Arabidopsis thaliana: one gene and its partners. The protein of the gene in region 4 purifies or fractionates together with the protein of the main gene of each other region. This does not show direct contact. Each region holds a gene or a part of one and is shown on either strand. Other genes may lie near its edges.

Region 1 (5,765 bases), on a different chromosome or scaffold from region 4:
AATCAATAATAAAATTTTGCTATATAGTATAGACCAAGCATGTTGTTATGTTAGGTTAATCTGGCAATGCAATCTCTATTCAAAAACCGATCACAGAGGTAGCTCGTGATTTTATTATTGGAGTGATATTAGCTCCGAGAAAACTTCTGGTTATTGTTATGGCTCTCATGGTTGTCTGTTTGTTGTATGTTTTTCTGTGTTCCTATTATCGTTTTACTTGTATTGATGAAGCTTTGTATGGTTTGGTATAACGCAGGCTGCAAAAGAGTTCGAGTCTGAGCTTAAGACAGAACCCGAAGAGTCTGTTGCAGAATCATCTCAGGTAGCAACGAGTAACAAAGAAGAGGAGAAAAAAACTGAGGTTTCTTCAAGCTCAAAGGAGAATGTATGAAGATGAGAGACTTCAGTGTTTGCTTTTCCTTGTAGCTACAACAATTTTATGTCATGAAGAGTTTAGATCAAATATTATTGTCTGGAGGAAACAAAATAGCCTTCCAATGAAAAGTATAAATTAATTTGTGTTTGATGAATCTAGAAGGCTCTTTCGAGTAGAAGAAGCAAAGAACTTGCACAAACAAATTAACTCTAGTTAAGACCAAAGACCAAAGAAATACAGAGAACTCTTATGTAAACAAAGTGTCGAATTATAAAACAAAACAGAATACAAAATTTTTCTCTAAGTTTCACGTTTCTGGGTATTACAATGAAGTTTGGTTCCAGAATCACTAAGCACAAGACTAATTGTCTACGACTCGCTTGTTCACTGATTAAGCTTCTGTCTCTTGATCCTCTCAAGTGCACCCAATTTCTGGGCAGCACCGTCTTCTCCAGCTTCTTCGCCGTCTTCGTCTCTCTTTCTAGCAAGTCCTCCAAAAACAGCGGCAGGGACTTCTTTCTGAGAGATCTCCACATGGTCATCTCCATCAGACTCATCATCACTTTCATCGGGAAGCTCGATGTCTTCTCCATTCCCTGTCACTGGTTTCCCCTCATTCTCACCGGACTGTGAGATGACTCCTGCGCTTACAAACCCAACTCTTCTCCCGCCATCTTTTGCTGGCTCTGTGGGGGTAGTTGTAGACAAAAGCTGCCTCTCCAGAGCCGCCATTTCGTCTTCAGGTAAACCGGCTCTCTTCAGCTCGCCTTTTGCGTCTTCCACATCAAGCAGCTTGTCCTTTTGCATCATGTTCTCTGGTAGAATGAAATGAGTCTGAAACAAAAAAGATCAATATAGTCAGATTTCGACTCCAAAAACAAATGACAAAAAATTGAAAGAAGAGAAACTGATGCAGACCTGACTATAGCTTGCGGAAACACTTCGCTTGATACGGAGCATTTCTCTGTAGGTATCTTCGTTCCCGTGCTGGACCTCGAACTCATGCCATTTGTTCCAGAATTCAGGGTCGGACCTTGGATCTGCAAACTGGGAGGAATACTTATAGAGTGCACGAGCACGATCAATCTCTCCCAAGCTTCTCTCCAGCTCAGCAAATTTTATGCACATGATCTTCACATCCTTATGTGGAAGCCCAGATTCAATTGCTTGTTCATATATTTCCCTTGTTCTGGGAACACCAAATATCTCCGCTGCTCGGGAAATGTATATCTCGTACATCTCAAGCTTCTGACCTTCTGGAACTTTTTTGGTGGCTTCCTCATAAACCTTCATGGCTCGTTTAGCCAGACCATAATCCTCTTCTAGCTTAGCATACTGAAGGTATAACGTCCTGACAGCATCAGATGGGGCCTGCAAGAGAGACAAAAAACAAGTTAGATCACATTTCAATATTATCACATCAATAAACAAGTTCTCTAAGCCACTGGCCAATTAGTCAACTTCGGTGCTAGTTTCATCGGATCTGTAATCAGACAGCACAAAAGTATGGGTAAAAGGACAGATGAGCTTACCATTGAAACAGCATGCTCAAACAACTCTCTTGCCCGCTCCAGCTTTGTCTTCCCGTATCTCTTGACAAACTTTGTAAGATAGGTTACCCAAATGTCTTTCACATGAGGATACTTGAATATCTTGACACCTCTTTCATACACCTTGAACGCATCTTCAAAGTACTTATTTTCCTCAAGAAGAAAAGCATAATTCATTATAATTTGAGGTGTAGCTATTCTCAAATCCAATATTTTCTCATAGACAGCTCTTGTCGATTCTAACGTCCCCAGACTTTCTTCCAGATCAACATAAAAGGACCAAAGCCTCAAGGATCTATGCAGCTTCATCTGGACTGGTTCATTGCCATCAGCAGCAACTCTCCGTCTGACTTCTACTGTCGGTACAGCTGTAGCACGCCTCATCAGCTCTAATGCTCCTTTGAAATTCTTGTGTCTCAGCTCCATCTCAGCCCACTCACACCACACACTGGCGAGATGATCTACGGTTTTGTAGTTTACCTGGACTGCTTTGTCAAAAATCACTCTAGTATTGACCAGGTCTTTGTGGTTTTCATACAACTTGGCAAAAGCAACCCACAAGGTGTGAGGCTTCCCAACTGCTTTCATAGGATCAACAGTCCTCACTGCTTCTGTGTATGTGAGAATCTGCTTTGCTGCGTTTCCCTCAAATATTTTGACTCTACGATGCCATTGCTCAACATTGTGAGGATTCTGCCTAAGGAGCACACTGTTTGCCAGTGCAGGTCTTCTGTTCATCAGTTCTTCCAAACGAGCCAATCTCAGATCAACATCATTATCATCATTCAACCAAAACCCATTCAGTATCTTCCTCTGCAACTCTTTCACCGACAGATTAAAATTAAGGCGAACATCCTCTTCATCATCCTCTACGCCATTCTCTTCATTCTCATCTTCTTCATCACTTGAACTCATCATCTCCATCTTCTTCGCGACCGTACTCTCCTCGAACCGTGAATAAACGTCAAATATCACACTAAAATCCCTTACAGTTACTACCTTCATCATACCCTCCTCATAAATATCCCTAGCTTTCTCCAACAAATTCTTCCTAATGTAATAATCCGCAAGAGAAGTCCACAGCATTCCAACTTCATCCGTAAACTTCCTAATACCTCCTCTTATAATAGCATCAACATTAAGACCCGAAATCACATTAGCATGATGCACAAGAAGCTCACACAACTCCAACCACAGTTTATGCTTAGTCTTCCCTTTAATAGAATAAAACTTATCATCATTCAACACAGAAGCTAATCTCTCTGCAGATTCTTGCCAACGCTCAGACTTGACAAGAAACTCAATAAACTCCTCAATATGACTAGGATCATACATAAGATACCTTCTATAAACCCTAAGTGAAGTCTCAATAGGAATCCCATTTTGACTCACAAACACAAGATACGGTTCCCAAATCCTATCATGTTGAGTAACAGGTAAAGCACAAAGCGCACGGTCGAAAGTTCGCCGAGTCCGAGTAATCAATTGCTGAACCGTAAGAGTCTGAAGATACATAACCCAAATCCTAGGCATCTTATGCATAGTAACAAGACCTCTCTCAAAAGTATTGTTGAGAGAATCGTACTGTGGATGAGTAACAGGCAAATTCCTAACGATATCGAGTCGTTCTCTAAGATAAGCGTACCACAGTTTATAGCTTCCAGGAAGTGCTTTTAAAGCTCTCTCGTAGATGATGAAGCGTTTCTTAAAAGGAGATTCAGCTTTTGCGATTAGGTATCTCCACCATAGCTTTAAGCTGAATTGGTTTCGAAGAAGCTCTTCCTCATAGAGTAGATCCTCTTGAGAAGGATAGAGATCTTTGGAAATCGCCATATAGTTTAGATCTAGAATGGAGAAACGAAAAGGATTAGGGATTTGAGAGCTTGTTTAAGCGAATCTGAAGGGAGTGGAGAAGGATTTGATTAGAATGAGAAGCTTTACCTGTGAGAATGTGAGGGACTAATCGCCGGCGATATGGTGAAGAACGGCGAAGAAGACGGTGAAGGGTTTGTTTCTCCGGCGTGAACGTTTTTTTAGGGTTGGGGAAAAGAGAAGACACGATAGTGATTTGATTTGAGGTAAGTGTTGTTATAAGTTTATTTATATTATAATATTACGAAATTACCCTCTCTGATAGAGATTGGTGAGTGTAAGAAGAATTGAGAAGAAAAGAGAAAATTAGTTGTTTTTATTTGACTGGTGGTTAATAAGACTGATCGAGAAGAATTGTTAAACGTTTTAATTAGGTTATTATTTTAAATTTATAAATAAAATTCAAATTATTTTAAAAATTAAATTAAAATTATAGAATTATTATGTGTTTCAATTTTAAAGATTCCATTATTCAATTAAATATAAAAAAAATTTATGATAAATATAATATAAATTTTATCGACAACGTCGAGATCCATATCCTTTTACTGACCATATGTGTTCAGCAATTTGATCACGAACTATCCGCATATACATTTCTGCCTCTGATGATTCTTCAATTTCAATACCATCATTGTTATCTTGCTCATCTGTCGCATCATGTGGAGCTTGTACAACATTATTCTCAGAATCAACATTGTCAAAATCATAGTCTTTAATATTATGCTGACGAATAAAATTATGCAGATCCATTGTAGCGAATGTAACACTTCTTTTTGTAGTAATATCATATCTCGGAAATTCATTTAGGACCCTCCATTTTTTTTTCCATAAGCCGAACGTTCGTTCAATAACAGAACGTAATGACACATGCCACCTATTATACATTTCTTTACTGTTTCGAAGAGGTTCACCGTTAAAAAATTATTGGAGATGATATCTTGTGCCTCTCTATGTTCTCTTCGGTATGGAGCTAAATATCCACGTTTATTAGCATATCCAGAATCTACAAGATAATACTTACTATCTGGAGGTACATGAAATAGTGGATCATCACTTATCGCAGCCGAAAGGACACGTGCATCATGGGTAGATCCTGCCATCCCGACAAAACAATATGTGAAAAGCATGTCAAGATCGCATATAGCTAGAACATTGAAGCTTGCAATTCCCTTTCAGTTTATAAATCGAAGACCTTCTCGCCTTGGTGTCACCATAACAGGTACATGTGTTCCATCAAGTGCACCAATAAATCCATTAAAAATGGCCAATATCTTGTATCATCTTGCAAACGATTAGAGATAGCTCTAAGTTCTTCGACTTTTCTTGGGCGTATATACTCTACAGCCAATCGTTCCATTGCTTTAAGCACATCATGAAACTTTCGCCAAATTGTCTCTTGGGCATGTCCAAACCTTAATGCAATATCACGTTGTGTATCATTTGAGGCACAAATGATTAGAAAGATTGCAACACTCTCGTCGAGGCTTATGTTCGTCGAGCTTTGTAAACCATACTTCCCATGTAATATTTCACATAACTGTGTGAATGCCTCTGAACTCATTCGGATAAGTGTCTGACATGAAACTTCATTACTGTAAATTTGATCTCGAACAATTAGCCATCCTCTTCCCCCATATGATGTCATAGGTTGTTTGTAAAATCATCTCGTGTAATATTGCAACATACGAGCTATGCATTCTTCCATATTCGCTTCTTCTTCTAGTAACATTAACTCTGCAATCTCTTCGTCGTCAAGATTCTCGATTCCAAATGAACGCAACTCGACAATTCGTTCCTGATATTTCAAGTAAATTTGTATTAGACATTGATGAAAATATTTTAATGAACATATAAAATATACATGAGAGAAAAACTTAATTCTTATTTAAAATTTTTTAATACAAATAATCACTACTTCTTCCCATCTTTTTCACTTGGCCTATTAAAAAAGTTTATCATTTCCG
Region 2 (6,520 bases), 6.1 Mb from region 4:
ATTTTGAAAATAAGAGATAAAGATCGTACTAAGTCAAATGTATTTATTTTATGGAAATTTCGAGGGGAAAAAAAATGTTACGTGATGCTTAGTTAAATTCGGAAACTACAAATTTCATATCAAGATGGTTTCTCTCGATAAAAATTCGTTACAGTGATAGTTTTAGCATACCATGCTTCGAGTTGTCGTTTTCTATATATGTTGTTTTCCTTACAACCATAACCAAATAATGAACTGATCATACAAATGAAAAGATACTTTTATAGATCGGAATATATATCGACTTAGATAACGTAAATAAAGGTACACCAATGTGATTTATAGATTATATAGTCATCAACACCATATATGAAACTTTAACAAAAAAACACCATATATGAAACTACAATTTTTTACGAACATGGTCTTACCTTTATTTTATCTTTTTTTTTCGTATAAAGAATTCCCAAACTATGAAAAAATGTCAGCTAGGTGAATAATCTAACTTTCATGGACTATTACTCAGCTAAGTTCAAAATATCCCTTCACTTCAAAACTTCTAAAAACAACTTTCATTGACTATACGCATTAATTAATTACTATTGTAATTACGACGATTTTTTTTTCGTTCTCCTCTAGCTTTTTTTAGTTTATTTGTTTTGGTCATGGTTGGGAACGGGACATCATCACATCACTTATCAACATTCTATTTGGTCCCCAACTCTATGAAGCATTATTTGAAATCATTAGCATGACTATCTAAGTTTTTTTTCTCCTGATATTTATCCAAAATTTTATTTCATTCAAATTGTTTAACAATATGTACATATACTATATGTATTATATAAAATACATATCACCACTCAGGCAATTTTTTAAACTTATATACAGTATGTGATAAAATAAACATGGTCATACGTTTAAGAATTGGAAATTAATGAGGTTGCAAGAAATCATTTAACGAGAACAGAATGAAGAGAAAGAAAAAAATAGCAACTTGGTGGCAAAAGGAAAAAGAAACAGCTTGAGATCAAAGCTGATTTGATGAATCGATACTTTGGAGATATATATGAGCATCTTCGGCAAAAGCTTTGGCCTTTGAGTGCAGTGTTACACACACGCATTTTCCAAACGAGATGATTTAAGTTTTGCAGAGCTATCACAAATATATTATAATACCAAACTCTCAGACAATATTATATAAATCGGAAGTCTAATTTTTTTTAATAAAAAATGAAAATATAGTATGACCAATGATTTGTTCATATAAGGTTCTTTTTTCGGCTATGTTAATTGTTGAGAAATGAGAATACTAAATATGCTTTTTATGAGAATACTACTTTTCGGCTATGACTAATTTTTGTTCATAAAGAACACATCTATCGTACGTGCAAATAGAATGGCCCGTACATCGTTGTCCTACCTTATACTTTAAAAGAATTTGTAATCAGAAAAAATAAAAGAAAAGAATGACAAAAAAAAGGGTAAGAATTATACTTTCGAGTTTCTTTTCTCAGACAGAAAGAATGAACGAACATACATAGTTTAACTAATGGGCTTCAGAAAAAAGCCTAATTAGTTATAAATCAAGGTCTCGTTAAAAGGCCCATTTGTTTAACAAGAAATCTCTAACTTGTTGTCCTAAGCTTAAACAATTTTTGCATCTCTCTCTCTTTCCGTCTTCATCGTCCTCCCGGCTTCTGCGATTTTGTTTAGTAGCGCCGGACCGGAGTAGTTAAAACCCTAGCCCAGTCTATTTAAAGATTCACCGAGTAGTCTTCTAGTCCTGCGTATACTTCTTCTTCTTCGTTTATACTTAGAAGATGAATTGTGCAAGTAAGGCACTCTTTCTTCTCTATTTACCGATTTAGGGTTTTATTTTGCTTTGTTTCTGTCGGTAACACTGTGGTCTTTTCTCCTCTACAGTTTCCGGCGAAGTTCCGGAGGAGCCTGTGGTTTCTAAGAAGTCGGGTTTGCTTTACGAGAAGCGGCTAATCCAGACGCATATATCCGTAAGCAAGTTCTTTTCTTTTCTCCCTCGTTCGACTCTTATCTAGGGTTTTCAGCTGTTTAGCCTCTTGCACCTCTCTATTTGCTGCAGATATTTTCTTAATACAGACTTTGTTGTGATAATTTATAGATTGCTTTTGGTACCTTGTAGGATTATGGGAAATGCCCGGTTACTGGTGAGCCACATACTCTTGATGACATTGTTCCCATCAAAACTGGGAAGGTAATGCAACCACTGGAGTTATTTGTCACACAGCATTGTTTGTAGAAACTTATTTAAGCCTGATTCGATCTCCGGGACCATTTTGCAGATCGTAAAGCCGAAACCATTACACACAGCTAGCATCCCTGGATTGCTTGGAACGTTTCAGACTGTAAGTTCTTATTTTGTATTCCCTATACCTTCTTTTTCGTTTCTGAATTTTGTTCTCTGTCTATTAAGGATCATATAGAGTTAAAATGGATGAACTTGATTTGGGTATGCATCGCTATCTGAGTTATTTAACATAGCAGATTGCATTCTACTCTTTACATTGAATTATATGTTCATTTGTTACTAATAGCAAGACGAAAGTGTTCGCTGGTTATTTTTACTTTAGGCAAAAGAAATGCTTAAAAAGTTTATCTGTTTGTTGTGCTTGTAGGAATGGGACAGTTTGATGCTATCAAATTTTGCTTTGGAACAACAACTGCATACTGCGAGGCAAGAGCTAAGTCACGCTTTGTATCAGGTAATTATGGTTAGGTGCATTTGCCACCACCTTATCAGACTACATGAATTACAAATATCTATTATGTATTCTAGTTTCTTTTCCTGGATGTTTCCATTTATTTCTTGTGATAAAAGGTGATTGATGGGGGATACACTTTTCCTTTGCAGCATGATGCTGCTTGTCGTGTGATTGCTAGGCTTAAAAAAGAAAGAGACGAATCACGACAATTGCTTGCAGAGGCTGAAAGGCAGTTGCCTGCAGCCCCCGAAGTTGCCACATCGAATGCTGCTCTTAGTAATGGTAAACGAGGTATGCTTGCACGTTTGCTTCTCAATGTAAGTTGGCTATGTGGTAATTTCTCTTATAACAAGCTACTATGTTTTTGGTTGCAATATAGGTATCGATGATGGTGAGCAGGGGCCTAATGCAAAGAAAATGCGTCTTGGAATTTCGGCTGAAGTTATCACAGAACTCACAGATTGTAATGCTGCTCTTTCTCAGCAGCGTAAAAAGAGACAGGTAACTGCATATATCAGTATATTAGTGGAAATAGAAGGCAAAAGAGAATTACATATATATATAGTTTGTCTGTAACATACAATGGATATCTGCACTTTTGGAGTTCAATTAGATTTGCGAGTGGTTCTTCTGTCTTAATAATTTCTCCTCATTGGTTCTCTAGATCCCTAAAACATTGGCTTCAGTCGATGCTCTGGAGAAGTTCACCCAACTCTCAAGCCACCCCCTTCACAAGACCAACAAACCTGGAATTTTTTCAATGGACATCCTACATTCTAAGGTTTGACACCTAAGAACTTCTCTATTTTCCATTCATCACTTTATGTAGTTTTTCTCTGTCCTGAGAAGTCACTGCATTGAACGTCATAGTGACATGTTTACTTTTGCGCTTACATTATATTGTACACTGCCATGAATCCCCATCTGGATGCTTATCAATATTATTCTTCAGTATATAGATTTTGTACACTACCATGAATCCCTGTGTCTGTTCTCTATTTAGTATTATTCTTAATTTCTCGTTATATGTGGTAATCAGGATGTCATCGCTACGGGAGGAATTGATACAACTGCCGTTCTCTTTGATCGTCCTTCAGGACAAATCTTATCAACGCTGACTGGTCACTCAAAGAAGGTCTGTCTTTTACTGTATTCTTTTTTTATATTTCATTTTCTTTTTTAACTTTTCCTTTGTAGTTTTGTGCTTGACATGCATTGTTCCTTTTGCAGGTTACAAGCATCAAGTTCGTTGGTGACACTGATCTTGTGTTAACTGCTTCATCCGACAAGGTAAGCTAAGGTTATGTGTACAAGCTCCTTTGAGGATTGCATGATTTTATGGAGTAGTAGTGAAGAGATTAACTTCTCATTTCTTAACACTCTGCAGACAGTCCGCATCTGGGGATGTTCCGAGGATGGGAACTATACCTCTAGACATACACTGAAAGATCATTCTGCCGAGGTAAGGATGTAACTGAAGAACTTCTACAGGCTACAGTCTCATACAGTTTTACGTTTTATTTATTTTTGGTCTGTTTAACGTAAAAGCAATGATGTGGTTTTCAGGTGCGAGCTGTAACTGTCCACGCAACGAATAAATACTTTGTGTCAGCATCACTTGACAGTACATGGTGCTTCTATGATCTGTCCTCCGGTTTATGCCTTGCTCAGGTCTCCAAAATTTTAATCCACACCTGATACCTGTTATCCAGTTTCAGATTTCTTCTTTTATGCTAATATAACAATGAAACATTTACCTTCTTTATTGTAATGTGAATTAGACTCGTTAGAATAAATGTTTCTGCCATGCGTCTTTCTCATTATTGTTGTTATTCAGGTGACAGATGCTTCCGAAAACGACGTGAATTACACGGCTGCTGCTTTTCATCCTGATGGTCTCATTCTTGGAACTGGTACCGCTCAATCTATTGTTAAGATTTGGGATGTAAAAAGTCAGGTAAAAACTCTTTGACCTTCCTTGCTCATCAACTGTTGTCACTTGTAAGTTTGTTCTCACTTCACTCTCATCTCTATCTCTGTCGTTTGATAGGCAAATGTGGCAAAGTTTGGTGGACACAATGGAGAAATCACCTCTATATCATTCTCTGAAAACGGTTATTTCCTTGCGGTGGGTACATTGACTGATTGACCTAAACTAAGTAGAAAGAAGGATAGCACCAGGTTCCTTTTGACTGACCAATATTTACTATTCTTTAAATTGTACAGACTGCTGCACTGGATGGTGTTAGGTTGTGGGACTTGCGCAAGTTAAAGAACTTCCGAACCTTTGACTTTCCAGATGCAAACTCGGGTATTCAACTACCTGAGCACTCTTACTAGTCTATTTTGTTGAGTGAGTTTTCATTTCTTAAGGCCTGAATGAGCTTTTTTTGTGCAGTGGAGTTTGACCATAGCGGATCTTATCTTGGCATTGCTGCTTCAGATATAAGGTGAGGTCTACTTTGATACACAATGTTGGGAATTAATTGATATAGGAGCTCACTTTGATAACGAGATATTGAAAGATAGTTGTGCAAACTCAATTAACCTGCTATCACCAGAAATGCAGTTTGGGTATATGTATACGTTTCTTCTGCAAATCATACTAATCGAAAACTTGTGCTTCAATGTTGTAGAGTATTCCAAGCAGCTAGTGTAAAAGCAGAATGGAACCCAATCAAGACTCTTCCCGATCTGTCCGGTACAGGTAAATGCTACATGTTAAGCTTTTGAAGTCACTGCTCTTCCTTGTTTTATTGAGTCTATCATTCAGACATTGTAACTACATAAATGTGCAGGTAAAGCAACAAGTGTTAAGTTTGGACTCGACTCCAAATACATAGCAGTCGGTTCAATGGACCGTAATCTCAGGATATTTGGTTTACCTGATGATGACAATACTGAAGATTCAGCACAAGATTCATGAAGAGATATCTCAAAAGTCTCATCATCAAGAGTAGCTATATCCTCAATTCTCGCGATTTTTGTTGTATCTTTACAGTTCTGTTGGTACTTTCCTGATGGCCCCTCTCACAATCACATATACACACCTGAGCTCTCTCCCTTTCTTTCTCAGTCAACAATTTTCCTGTAACAACATCGTACCTTAAGGATCTGCAGTTGATCTTTCTCTCTTTGATCTGAAAGAGTCCACATAAAACAAAGTTAGCTGCTCACTATAAAAGCAAATGAAGAACAGGCATGTAAATGATCTTCTTCATCATTCAAATCAGTAGGACCTAAACGGCAACAATTAAAAAACTTGTGTTATATAGAAAGGGTCATGAATCTTGAAGACAATGAAATGAAGACAAAAAGATTGTGATGGTGGTCATAGAAATTAGAAAACCCTGAGACAGACAGAGATTTTGACTGTACTGTGGTCAAAACACACACTTCACAATCTTCCCATTCCCCCACCAATCTCAGATTCCTTTTCACTTCCTCCAACTCTTTCTCTCTCTCTGGCCTTTTTTTTTTTTTTTTTTCCTATTTATAGCTCATCTTTAGTAATTCCGTTATTGGTTAAATTTCCTAAACATGTTTTTGGTATCAACAATCAAGTAAGTGCAAGAAAGTTTGTATCTTTCTCTAAACCCAATTTCCAAAGTAACCAACTACTAAACCAGAATGTTACACAAAGTAAGTCACTAAATGACTTTAAAAACAAGATTAGACTTTAAACTAGATTAGAGACATACTTATTTGGAATAAGATTCAAAGGTCACTAGTAGCTAGTAGGTGGTAAAAAGGAAGCTAAACAACAAATAAACTCTTATTAAAATCTTTCAATCAATAAA
Region 3 (7,861 bases), on a different chromosome or scaffold from region 4:
TCTCAACTGAATCCCCCGGTCGGAGTGTCCTTCCACCACCAAACTTAAACAAGAAAAGTATATATCTCAATCCTCATTACTTGAGACCATAGATGCCAGCAGGAAAATATACACTCCAAAACCATCGAAGTTAAGAGCTGATGGTTATAGCCAACAATCCAAAATGTGGAAAATACAACCAACAAATCATTTTTGATGCATCATATTTCACAGTAGACTAAATGGTATGCGAACTAAATAATAAACCCATGAAACCTTTCTGGCACTCCTACCTCTAATAATCTGGAGTAAGTGGCTCTATATACCCTAACTTAACAACATTGGACATGCAACTTCTTCCCTCTTGGGGGTTTATGAAAAAAACTAATCCAGTTGCATAACACATATCTTTAGATGGGCCAGTCACATACCGTCTTAGAGATGTTGCTAGGTCTTGGGAAAACTCCCCATGTAGAAACTTTGGGTTTATACACATCAGAGTTTCCATCTCCTTCTTGCTCAACCTCCTTTACTTTCTCCGCAAATCTTGTTTTATCACCAACAATAAACTCCACCTCAGGTAAGTCTCCTTCAGGAAGATAGTCAACAACAGGAACAAGTCCCGCTGGAAGCCCCCTCGTGCTCTTCTTATCAGCAAAGCCAAGCCCCATGAAATCAATGCTGGAGACTTTCAATTCTTTCTTCTTAACATCATTATCTTCAACAACCTTATTTGCTAATCTAACGAAACTTTGATCTGTATTACCTGAAACCCATGAGAACAATTCTCCATTAATACAGCTAAAAATCAAGGCTTTACTCCTAAATCTAATCAAAAACCAATCTTTTCAAGGAACAGGCCACGAAAAACACATGAATGATGTACTAAAGACTATTAGAAAAGTGCATTGATCTACAAACTCAAGCAAAGACAGTTACAAGAATTTTGTGCAAAAGATGATTTTTTACTGAACTGGGTTTAGCTTTTGCGACAGCATCAGTTCCAAGTCCTTTCCTTTTCTTATAATCATTGGCTTTTTGCATAGCAGCCTTAACAGAGAGCGGCAATTCCTCGTCGCCGGCATTTTTCTCTGGTTTTTTTTGCTCTGATTTCGATTTCTTATAAGCTTCGGCTTTCTTCAATGCGAGCTTCACCGGATCCACATCGAGCTCAACCTCTGACGAGCGGTCCGGTGAGGACGAGTTGCTCCGAGTTCGGAAAAGTGAGAGTTTCAAGGATTTTGGGTGTTGAGATGGAGAAAAAAAGAAAGCGGGAGTTTCGGTGAGTGGAGAAGAGAGCCAAGAGTGGTTGAAAGAAGCCATGGTTTGGTGGAGAGAAGAGCTGGTTAGCCATTTTTGGAGTGCAATGTTTTCACAGACTTGTGGACTCGTGGATGCAACATCACCACCCATCCATTTCATCATTGGTCTTGGTCACTAGAGCGCATAAACAGTTCGTTTTATTCGGTTTATATTCGGTTTAGATTGATCAATTATGATTCGAATTCGTTTATTTTGGCTCAGTTCAATTTTTTTTTATGCACACTCATATTTAAGTTGTTTTATTTTAAATCAAAATACTAATTTAAAAGAATGTAAAGTTTTATGTTATCCGATTGCATAAATTTGGTTTTAGTTTGGTTTATTTGGTACAAATTACTGTTTAATGTTTTTTAATCATAAGAAATTCAGTTTTGGTTCGATTCGGTTTACTTGGCTTTTGCTCACCATTATTTATTTATATTAATTTTACTCTTAAGATTATTTCTAGTTCCAGTCCAGACTAAAATACTTCTAGCCCAATATCGGCCCAAGTCCAGCTGTAATTAAACTAGCATCACTCGGGTCGGGTCGAGTCGGTCGTAACCGCCTTTTATCTTTGACGTCGTCGATGAAACTCTCACCTCCGCTTAAGCCCTAAAAATCTTACTCTTCTTCACTCTAAATCCCTTCTCTGAACCTCTTCGTTTGCTGTATGTGTTGATTTCACTTCTCTCTGAGCAAGAAGCTTTCGCGTGAGAGAATGACGAAGGTCTATGGAACTGGCACGTACGACTTCAAGCGCCACAGAGTGGCGGAGTATCCATTGGAGTTACCTAGCCATCCTGCTGAGAAGCCTCTAGAGTCAAAGCCTGGATCTAATTTGCCGAGCTCCATCACTTTATCGGAGATTCAGCAAGATAGGTTAACGAAAATCGCTGAGGAGAGCTGGATTAAGACTGGAGGTAAGCTCCCTGAGAAACCGTTCGATCCGGAGGTTGTGAAGGAGATTTATGTGACGGAGCTTAAGGTAACTAGTGGTCGTAAACCTGTTCCACTTCAGCGAGTTATGATTCTGGAAGTGAGTCAGTATTTGGAGAACTATCTATGGCCGAATTTTGATCCTGAGACTGCTACGTTCGAGCATGTTATGTCTATGATTCTTATGATTAACGAGAAGGTAACTAATCTTGCTCTCTTTCGTATTGGACTGTTGGAGCTGTAAACAGTGGAGTTTAACATTGCTACATGCTTTGTAGTTCCGGGAGAATGTGGCAGCTTGGATTTGCTTTCATGATCGGGATGATCTATTCAAAAAGTTTCTACAGAAGGTTCTTCGCCTTAAAGAGGTTTGTATTCTACCTGTTGTTTTAGTTTTTGTGATTCTAGTGTTGTTCCTGTTTGTGATAATTTGGTTTGTACCTGTGATTTATAACATTGTCTTATGCCTGGAATTGACTTCGCTATATATTTGGAGGCATAGTGATAAATCATAATTAGCCATTGCTAAACCAATCGTATATTTATATATCATTTGCTTACCATTGTAGGGAAGAGACTTGACTATTGCTGAGAAGACAAACTATTTGGTCTTCATGATTAATGCTTTCCAGGTTTGTTCCGTTTCTTGCATGTAACTTTTGAATAGGTCGTAAGTATTTAGAATGCTGTTGCGCCTGTTTCAGATCAGAAAATTAATACATGATATAGTAAGCAGTAATTGCAGACAATATAGCTGTGTGCTACTCAGTAAATTGTTTGTTTCACGTGGAAAACCTTATTATTCATGTTTGTACACAAATTATATCCTTGTGCTATTTTGTTTTTCTTCAATATTCTTAACTGTGTGATGTTACAGAGTTTGGAAGACGCAGTGGTTAATGAGATTGTTCTAAGTCTAGCAGGATTACAATCTTGGCACAGCTTGTCTTATGGACGTTTCCAGGTGGGTGTTTCCTTCACATGGATTTTGTTAAGGATGGTGAAAATATTTTGTAGTTGCTCTGATATCGTCATTGATTTTTACAACTGTAGATGGAGCTCTGCCTTCAACCTGATCTAATTAAAAAGTGGAAGAGGTCATCAAAGAAATGGGCAGCTGAGGCAAAGTCAAAGGGAGAGAAATTTGATTTATCCTCATCCCCTGAAGCAAATTTTGTTCGAGGCCTAATAGAAGAATTCGTTGAGGTATATAGCCTGTTTTTATTGGGTTGTAGTGGTCTATGTTCGTCAAATATATCTTTCGCATAGTTACGCATAATTCATAACATTCTGTTCAGGTGCTTGATCATGGGGTTTTTGCGGATGAGGTTGATGATACTGCTGGATCTCAATTGGTCGATGATTCTTCTGTCTTATATTGTGAGAGATTCATGGAATTTCTTATTGACATGCTGAACCAACTTCCAACAAGAAGGTATTAATATTTCCCTCCAGGGCCTCTATGCAAGTTTTTTGTAGACTAAAATATCTAGGGTTTTTTTTTGTTCCTAATAATATCTAGGTCTTAGTCTTGTTACGCTTCCTCATTCTACACTGTCCATTTCTGAGCCATTCATTTACTGGACCTTAATTTTTCCTTTCTCCATCTCTTCATCTTGATTATTACAGATACCTAAGACCTCTTGTGGCGGATATAGCAGTTGTTGCCAAATGTCGACTGAGTGCCCTATACAAACATGAAAAAGGGAAGCTTTTCGCCCAACTAGTTGACTTGTTACAGTTCTACGAAAAGTTTGAGATAAAGGATCATGATGGAACACAATTAACTGATGATGAAGCACTTCAATTTCATTACGATCGTTTTATGGCGTTTCAGCTACTTGCCTTTAAGAAAATACCTAAGGTATTGTCCTGGTAATCATGGTTAATTAATAGATAGGTAGTTTTGTGTACTAGGTATTTTTGTTATGTTACTATTGGATTTTGAAGTCATTGATCTACTCTCTTCCTTATTTTCTAATATTTTTTGGCAAACGCTTCTCTAGATTCTCACATTTGTTTTTATCTGGTTTGCTTCAGTTGCAAGATCTGTCTTTGGCTAACATTGGTTCGATTCACAAGAGTTCTGATCTTCGGAGGAGATTGTCTGTGCTTTCTCTTGAAGATTTAAGGGATGTTGTCTGCTCAAAGGTATATATCTGGAAAGCATATTCTTGTAGGTTCACAAACTCTGCATGGGAATTCAGGATATGATTATGGAATATTGCTGAGGCAATTCTATGATGATCATATCTTTTCTGCCAGTTTCATTATGCTAAGGCTCTTATAGTTGTGAGCTTTCAGTGAATATTATTGGCAAAATGCTTAGCAAAATCAGAATACAAAGTCTAAGTTGACATGCTAAAAGATCTATGGGTTGACACAAATGTAGACGTTATGTATCTACTTGTTTGAATTCCCTTTAGGCCATTACAGTAGTACGCAGAGTAGTGTGAGAAATCAGTGAAGAGATGTATTTGTGCCTGTGGAGAGTAGAAAGGAGATATGTAAACTGTATTTGCCTCTTGCTGTTGCTAATTTTAGTTTTCGTTAAAATATACTTTTGTTGCCTTAGAAGTTCACGTACAACAATTATACACCTTGCCACCTACATTGGTTCTCATTTTCATTTGCTTTTGTGCAGCTCAAACTGGTTTCAAGACATGATCCTTGGGCAGATAGTAAAGATTTTCTGACTGAAGTCGTTGTCTCCTCTTTTGAGAAGCAACAGTCTCAGAAAGAAGCAATAAACGCTCTGCCTTTGTACCCAAATGAGCAAATCATGTGGGACGAAAGTGTTATTCCAAGCATTAATTATTCTGGGGAAGGTTGCCTTGCTCTTCCAAAGCTTAATCTTCAGTTTCTAACACTCCATGATTATCTCCTTAGAAACTTCAACCTCTTCCGTCTAGAATCCACCTATGAGATTCGTGAAGATATACAAGAAGCTGTACCACATCTTCTTGCACATATAAATAACGAGGGAGACACTGCTTTTCGTGGTTGGTCACGAATGGCGGTTCCTATTAATGATTTCAAAATCGCTCAGGTGAAACAGCCTAATATTGGAGAAGAGAAGCCTTCATCTGTGACAGCAGAAGTTACTTTCAGTATCAAGAGTTACAGAACGCAGATAAGATCTGAATGGAATTCCCTTAAAGAGCATGACGTGTTGTTTTTGCTTTGTATACGCCCTTCATTTGAGCCATTAGGTCCTGAGGAAGCTGATAAAGCTACAGTTCCACAGAGGCTCGGGCTTCAGTATGTTCGTGGTTGTGAAATCATCGATATCCGCGATGAGGAGGGTAATCTGATGAATGATTTTACTGGAAGAGTTAAACGGGATGAATGGAAGCCCCCAAAAGGTGAAATGAGGACTGTGACTGTCGCTTTAGATGCTGCACAGTATCATATAGATGTTACAGACATCGCTGAAAAAGGTGCTGAGGATGTGTATGGCACATTTAATGTGCTAATGAGGAGGAAACCAAAAGAGAACAACTTCAAGGCTATTCTGGAATCTATCAGAGATCTTATGAACGAATATTGTATTGTGCCGGAGTGGTTGCATAATGTTTTTCTTGGGTATGGCAACCCTTCTGCTGCACAGTGGCCTAATATGCCAAACCTGTTGGAAATAGTGGACTTCAAAGACACTTTCCTTAATGCAAATCATCTCAGTGAAAGTTTTTCAGATTATGAGGTTAGTACCTATATTCTTTTGTATATGATGTGATCTAGAAGACTAGAACTAGTTCCTTTCCATGTCTCTAATAATTTGTGCATATTAGGTTTCTTTCATCAATGCTGAAGGTGCTGAAGCTCTGGATCCAAGTCCTCCGTTTCGAATCACTCTTCCAAAGACACTAAAAGGAAATGGTGCTATTTCTGGAAACAAGATATCTGAAGTGAATCCAGCAGATAATGTTAATATGGTGGATGCTTCCCCGAAGGAGAAACTTATTGTTGAGGCATATACCCCACCTGACCCAGGGCCTTATCCTCAGGACCAGCCGAAGCAGAACTCAGTTAAATTTACACCTACACAGGTACTACTTATTTCTACATCCTAAGTGCAGTATGCTGATTTGGTTTTTATATAATTGTGCTGTGCTATACTTGTCAACTTTTCGTCATTCTTGCTATTTGTTTTGGAAGATGACAAATTTATTATCTTAGAATCCTTCCTACTTTTACAGAAGAGTTATGTCATACGAGAATACTATTCATCATCTTTATGTCGCCTTATTGTGTTGGGTACCTGACACTTATAACCCATGTAAAATTTTGCACCTGTTATTTCCATCGTAACGTAAATCATTTGGTCATTGATCGATTTGAGTGGTCAATACTGTTCCCACATCATTCTGTTTTATTTGAAGAAAGTTTTACCTAATGTTCAAATCACTTTCTCCCTCATGGTGGTTTGGATGAGAATGAGAAAATATACCAAAACATTTGGTATGGATTCAAAATATGGATCATTGTTGCAAGTTGTAACTAAACCATGTCCATGCCTACTATTTTCCTGCAGGTTGGAGCAATTATCTCTGGTATTCAGCCTGGGCTAACTATGGTGGTTGGTCCACCAGGTACCGGAAAGACTGATACAGCAGTGCAAATTTTGAATGTTCTATACCACAACTGTCCTTCTCAGAGGACATTGATAATCACTCATTCAAATCAGGCTTTGAATGATCTTTTTGAGAAGATAATGGAGGTACTATTGGCATCTTCGTTGCTTTTGTTATTTATATGGAGTCATATTTAATGTTTTATGTTTGACGGAGTTCTGAGAGTCAAATGCTACATGGATCTTTTTTCAGAGGGATGTACCAGCGCGGTATCTACTTCGTTTGGGTCAAGGTGAACAAGAGCTTGCCACTGATCTTGACTTTAGCAGACAAGGCCGTGTCAATGCCATGCTTGTTCGGCGTCTGGAACTCCTCAGTGAGGTTGAGAGACTAGCAAGATCTCTTCAGCTTCCAGAGGATGTAGGATATACTTGTGAAACAGCTGGATATTTCTGGTTGCTTCATGTATACTCGCGTTGGGAGCTGTTTCTCGCAGCTTGTGCAGGAAATGAAGACAATCAATCTTTTGTGCGAGATCGCTTCCCGTTCAAAGATTTCTTCTCAGACACCCCTAAACCTGTTTTTAATGGGGAGTCATTTGAGAAAGACATGAGGGCAGCTAAAGGTTGTTTCTCTCATCTCAAGACTGTGTTCCAAGAGCTAGAAGAGTGTAGGGCCTTTGAACTACTCAAGTCAACTGCTGATAGAGCAAATTATCTGATGACCAAACAAGCAAAGATTGTAGCAATGACGTGTACTCATGCTGCATTAAAGAGGAGAGATTTTCTTCAGTTAGGGTTCAAATATGATAACTTATTGATGGAAGAAAGTGCTCAGATTTTGGAAATTGAGACTTTCATACCAATGCTGCTTCAGAGGCAAGAAGATGGTCATGCACGACTCAAGCGCTGTATATTGATTGGTGATCACCACCAGCTGCCTCCCGTGGTGAAGAATATGGCTTTCCAGAAATATAGTCACATGGATCAGAGTTTGTTTACGAGGTTTGTTCGTCTTGGTATTCCTTATATTGAGCTCAATGCTCAAGGAAGAGCCAGGCCAAGTTT
Region 4 (5,034 bases):
TTTTCTTTATATCAAGCTTTTCAAATGTATAGGTATAAGAACTCAATTTTATGATTATCGCCTCTACACGTTGTTTTTGTGCTTTTTTTTTTCTACTTTTGTATATATTTGGGTCATGCGTGAAGCGGTGAGAGTACTTTCGGTTGGTGGAATGTCACGATGAGCTTCATCTTTTGACCTTATCAATTCTAGTAGCGGTTCCTGACATGGAAATTCACGTATACATGATACGAAAACTGTTACATTTCGTCACTTTCGTCAATATTTCTACGCATATTATTCATATATGTTATCTATTTTCTTCGTATGTTTCACAAAAAACGTATTTTGGACTTTCTAGGGTTTGTTAAAATCTCTAATAGTTTATTCATAGTATATATGGAAGGAATATTGAGACAATATTACTCGAAATTTTAATTATGCATGGATATATTCAGACCAAAATGTCAATTAGCCTCCGAAATGTATAAAACAAGATAAAGGATTTATAGTGGTCAACCCATTATTGTTATAATAAAGGATTTTGTAGTTAACTATGATACATTGTAACACATTTGAATTTTGTGGCAGACTAGCGATGATTTTCTGAATGACCTTTTTCAAATCAATTGTTACTTGTAAAAATTTGTCATTAACAACCGTAAGTGATAATCGGTAGTTAAATATTCCTTCCATATATACTAATCAAATGCAGCGGTTAAATAATTGATAGGAAAAAAAACAGCATAGGCATTGTTACTTTGTGTTTACACTTTTGAATAAAAAGTATTATTAAGTAAAACAAATAAATAATAAAAAATATTATTAAATCTTGGAATAAAGTACACCAATTTTGTCATAAATAATTAACTCCGGCAAAACTTTAAAGATAATGGAGCCACACTATGTCACATGATCGATGCTCCCTCTAATCCGCAATAGGTGCTTACATGGATGTTTAAACCGAATTTAGGCGGACGAGAGTTCTTAGTTGTTTATATATACGTAATTTGTTTTGTTGTATATGTGCAGTAACAAAAATAACATCGCTTTAAAACAAAAAAAATTGAAGTGGTTTAGCATAATTTTAGATATTAATTAATCTTGGTAAACTCTTAAAAAAACAGTTTTGTTTTAGAATATTAAACAAAAATACATAATTGAATATGATGCTCTTGTTACGTGGATTTCCACACATGGCCTTTTTGGGACATTTTGATTTTCCACGTCTCAATATTTCACACGCCTACTTATGTGATGACTGATGCGTGATTAGTCAATTTTCTGTATTAAATTACTGTTTTGTTTGTTTGTCACCATTCTCTGTATTTCCTTAAAGAGTAAAAGAAAGTAAAAATTTAGTCACCGGTTGAGTTTTTTTCTTTCCAAACAAGAGTTTTAATGATGGAGTGAGTTTTTCTTGTACTTTGTCATGTTGTTATGGTAGTTGATTCTTGTTATATCGATATATAACATGAGAACTCTTTTTAATACAAAACTATAAATTATACGTGTTGCATGTTTGAAAACTATATTATCACTAAGATCAATAGATCTCTTTAGAGATTTGACAAAAATAAACAAAGACATATATATAAATTTTTTGGATATTTTTATGGACTGCCCAGTTTTCACATGATAACACATGAACCTTCGTCTCATATACATGTGCCATCTTTTACTAATCTAAGATTGCATTCAAAGTAATCAGCCTCCATGTCATTGTCACCATTTAAAGTTTTTCCCATTCCTTGTTCATTATTACACACACATTATATTTGTCAGCGATTATTAATGTTGAGGTATTAATATTTTGACAATTTTAATTCTTATAATAAACAAAAACACTTGCATTCATTCTCAAATTAACAAACGCAAAAGAAAGCATGAGACCATTGTCTTATTACGTTGGGCTTAGGAAGTATGTACAGGCCCAGCCCAATCCATGTACAGAGTCGGTTTCGTTATTGGATCCATAGTTTCAAAACGGCATCGTTAAAGTTTTCCACCTTAAGGCGGTATCGCTAGCTTATAGAAAGAATTCGCAGTCGAATAAACGAAGGAGTGTCTCCTTTAGTCATTTAGGTCGATTATTAGGAGATAGAGGACGTGAGAAGGGAGAGATCTGAGTCTCCTACTAGGGTTTCTTCTACTGGATTGATTCGTTGCAGAGAGTGAAGCTAAGAAGAGATTTTCGTAGCTGTTTCTGTAAGTTTTTTTTAATCTCCGTTTCCTCGATTTGGGTGTGGTTTTATTAGGGTTTATCATCTCTGGGAGCTTCTTCGTTTCACTTTTGGTTCGTTTCTTCGATTTGAGGTTAACATTGTGTATTTTTTTTTGTTCCTGTTTGATTTGGTTTCTAGGTTTTCGGATTGGTAGATGGCGAACTTGGGAGGCGGTGCGGAAGCACATGCCAGGTTCAAGCAGTATGAGTACAGAGCCAATTCTAGTCTGGTGTTAACTACTGATAATAGACCTCGGGATACTCATGAGCCTACAGGAGAACCGGAAACTCTGTGGGGGAAAATCGATCCGAGGTCTTTTGGTGACCGTGTTGCTAAGGGAAGGCCTCAGGAGTTGGAGGATAAGCTGAAAAAGTCTAAGAAGAAGGAACGTGATGTTGTAGATGATATGGTAAATATTAGGCAGAGTAAGAGGCGGCGTCTAAGGGAAGAGAGTGTGCTGACTGATACTGATGATGCGGTTTATCAGCCGAAGACTAAGGAGACGAGGGCTGCTTATGAAGCCATGCTTGGTCTTATCCAGAAGCAGTTGGGTGGGCAACCTCCGAGTATTGTTAGTGGTGCAGCGGATGAGATTTTGGCTGTTCTCAAGAATGACGCATTTAGAAACCCTGAGAAAAAGATGGAGATTGAGAAGTTGCTGAACAAGATTGAAAACCATGAGTTTGATCAGCTTGTTTCCATTGGAAAGTTAATCACGGACTTCCAAGAGGGTGGTGATTCTGGTGGTGGTAGAGCTAATGATGATGAAGGGCTTGATGATGATTTGGGCGTGGCTGTTGAATTTGAGGAGAATGAAGAAGATGATGAGGAAAGCGATCCTGATATGGTTGAAGAGGATGATGATGAGGAGGATGATGAGCCTACCAGAACTGGAGGCATGCAGGTTGATGCAGGGATAAATGATGAGGATGCAGGAGATGCCAATGAGGGCACAAATCTTAATGTTCAAGACATTGATGCATATTGGCTCCAGAGAAAGATCTCTCAAGCGTATGAACAGCAGATTGATCCACAACAATGCCAGGTACTCGCAGAAGAGCTACTAAAGATACTCGCTGAAGGGGATGATAGGGTTGTTGAGGACAAGCTGCTTATGCACCTTCAGTACGAAAAATTTAGCCTTGTCAAGTTTCTGCTGCGTAACCGTCTTAAAGTTGTGTGGTGCACTCGTTTGGCTAGGGCAGAAGACCAGGAAGAGAGGAATAGAATCGAGGAGGAGATGAGGGGGTTAGGCCCAGAGTTGACAGCAATTGTGGAGCAGTTGCATGCAACAAGAGCAACAGCGAAAGAGAGGGAGGAGAACCTGCAAAAAAGTATTAACGAGGAAGCCCGGCGTTTGAAGGACGAAACTGGTGGAGATGGAGGCAGAGGCAGGAGAGATGTTGCTGATAGAGATTCAGAGAGTGGGTGGGTGAAGGGTCAGCGTCAGATGCTGGACCTGGAGAGCTTGGCTTTTGACCAAGGTGGTCTTCTGATGGCGAATAAGAAGTGTGACCTCCCCCCTGGCTCTTACAGAAGTCATGGCAAGGGATATGATGAAGTTCATGTGCCTTGGGTTTCTAAAAAGGTTGATAGGAATGAGAAGCTAGTGAAGATTACGGAAATGCCTGATTGGGCGCAACCGGCTTTTAAGGGAATGCAACAGTTGAACAGGGTTCAGAGCAAAGTGTATGACACTGCGCTTTTCAAGGCAGAGAATATTCTTCTTTGTGCTCCAACTGGTGCTGGGAAAACCAATGTTGCTATGCTCACCATACTGCAGCAACTTGAAATGAATAGGAACACAGATGGAACTTATAACCATGGAGATTACAAAATTGTCTATGTTGCACCCATGAAAGCCCTTGTTGCTGAAGTTGTAGGTAATTTGTCTAATCGTCTGAAGGATTATGGAGTTATTGTGAGAGAACTCAGTGGGGATCAGTCCCTAACCGGAAGAGAAATTGAAGAGACTCAGATAATTGTTACAACACCAGAGAAATGGGATATCATCACTAGGAAGTCTGGAGACCGAACTTATACTCAGCTTGTGAGACTTCTTATAATTGATGAAATTCATCTCCTTCATGACAATCGAGGGCCTGTGCTTGAAAGCATTGTTGCTAGGACTCTTAGGCAAATTGAAACCACGAAAGAGAATATTCGTCTGGTTGGTTTATCTGCTACATTGCCAAATTATGAAGACGTGGCCTTATTTTTGCGGGTTGATCTTAAGAAAGGTTTGTTTAAATTTGACCGCAGCTACAGACCCGTGCCTCTCCATCAGCAGTATATTGGAATCAGTGTGAAGAAACCGTTGCAGAGGTTCCAGTTGATGAATGATCTTTGTTATCAGAAAGTATTGGCTGGTGCTGGAAAGCACCAGGTCCTTATTTTTGTTCATTCAAGGAAGGAAACATCAAAAACTGCTAGAGCAATAAGGGACACTGCAATGGCGAACGATACCCTCAGCAGATTCTTGAAGGAAGATAGTGTAACTCGTGACGTTCTCCATAGTCATGAAGACATTGTTAAGAATAGTGACCTAAAAGATATTCTGCCTTACGGTTTTGCAATTCATCATGCTGGGTTATCAAGGGGTGATCGTGAGATTGTTGAGACTCTTTTTTCTCAGGGGCATGTGCAAGTCTTGGTTTCCACAGCAACTCTCGCATGGGGTGTGAATCTGCCTGCACATACCGTAATTATAAAAGGAACCCAGGTGTATAATCCTGAAAAAGGGGCGTGGATGGAGCTGAGTCCTCTAGATGTTATGCAGATGCTTGGTCGTGCTGGAAGACCTCAGTATGATCAACATGGGGAGGGTATA

What was found.
Region 1: the proteins of emb1507 (region 4) and AT5G28740 purify together in Arabidopsis thaliana (affinity purification with mass spectrometry; 2 studies listed by BioGRID, with this or other methods). This does not show direct contact.
Region 2: the proteins of emb1507 (region 4) and MAC3A purify together in Arabidopsis thaliana (affinity purification with mass spectrometry, with the first as the bait; one study listed by BioGRID). This does not show direct contact.
Region 3: the proteins of emb1507 (region 4) and EMB2765 purify together in Arabidopsis thaliana (affinity purification with mass spectrometry; 2 studies listed by BioGRID, with this or other methods). This does not show direct contact.

What each region holds. Positions count from the first base shown.
Region 1 is NC_003076.8:10,778,768-10,784,532, reverse strand, and holds AT5G28740 (Tetratricopeptide repeat (TPR)-like superfamily protein), read right to left. Parts: upstream 4,031-5,765; 5' UTR 3,868-4,030; intron 3,771-3,867; 5' UTR 3,760-3,770; coding exon 1,909-3,759; intron 1,748-1,908; coding exon 1,295-1,747; intron 1,211-1,294; coding exon 761-1,210; 3' UTR 537-760; downstream 1-536. Other genes in the region: AT5G28750 (Bacterial sec-independent translocation protein mttA/Hcf106), read left to right, coding at 257-391; AT5G28730 (nuclease), read right to left, coding at 4,315-4,524, 4,695-4,970, 5,045-5,406, 5,488-5,530.
Region 2 is NC_003070.9:1,224,947-1,231,466, forward strand, and holds MAC3A (MOS4-associated complex 3A), read left to right. Parts: upstream 1-1,536; 5' UTR 1,537-1,802; coding exon 1,803-1,815; intron 1,816-1,905; coding exon 1,906-1,991; intron 1,992-2,140; coding exon 2,141-2,212; intron 2,213-2,300; coding exon 2,301-2,363; intron 2,364-2,633; coding exon 2,634-2,720; intron 2,721-2,869; coding exon 2,870-3,011; intron 3,012-3,099; coding exon 3,100-3,221; intron 3,222-3,384; coding exon 3,385-3,501; intron 3,502-3,759; coding exon 3,760-3,855; intron 3,856-3,950; coding exon 3,951-4,010; intron 4,011-4,107; coding exon 4,108-4,182; intron 4,183-4,286; coding exon 4,287-4,391; intron 4,392-4,557; coding exon 4,558-4,677; intron 4,678-4,770; coding exon 4,771-4,848; intron 4,849-4,946; coding exon 4,947-5,031; intron 5,032-5,118; coding exon 5,119-5,170; intron 5,171-5,356; coding exon 5,357-5,427; coding exon of another isoform or gene 5,428-5,433; intron 5,434-5,518; coding exon 5,519-5,646; 3' UTR 5,647-6,001; downstream 6,002-6,520.
Region 3 is NC_003071.7:16,204,395-16,212,255, reverse strand, and holds the start of EMB2765 (P-loop containing nucleoside triphosphate hydrolases superfamily protein), read left to right. Parts: upstream 1-1,827; 5' UTR 1,828-2,002; coding exon 2,003-2,419; intron 2,420-2,498; coding exon 2,499-2,588; intron 2,589-2,789; coding exon 2,790-2,852; intron 2,853-3,097; coding exon 3,098-3,184; intron 3,185-3,273; coding exon 3,274-3,426; intron 3,427-3,518; coding exon 3,519-3,655; intron 3,656-3,849; coding exon 3,850-4,084; intron 4,085-4,260; coding exon 4,261-4,371; intron 4,372-4,864; coding exon 4,865-5,923; intron 5,924-6,011; coding exon 6,012-6,269; intron 6,270-6,754; coding exon 6,755-6,940; intron 6,941-7,046; coding exon 7,047-7,861. Other genes in the region: AT2G38780 (cytochrome C oxidase subunit), read right to left, coding at 1-43, 411-745, 954-1,404.
Region 4 is NC_003070.9:7,307,239-7,312,272, reverse strand, and holds the start of emb1507 (U5 small nuclear ribonucleoprotein helicase), read left to right. Parts: upstream 1-2,001; 5' UTR 2,002-2,187; intron 2,188-2,342; 5' UTR 2,343-2,358; coding exon 2,359-5,034. UniProt on the Arabidopsis thaliana protein: RNA helicase that plays an essential role in pre-mRNA splicing as component of the U5 snRNP and U4/U6-U5 tri-snRNP complexes. Involved in spliceosome assembly, activation and disassembly.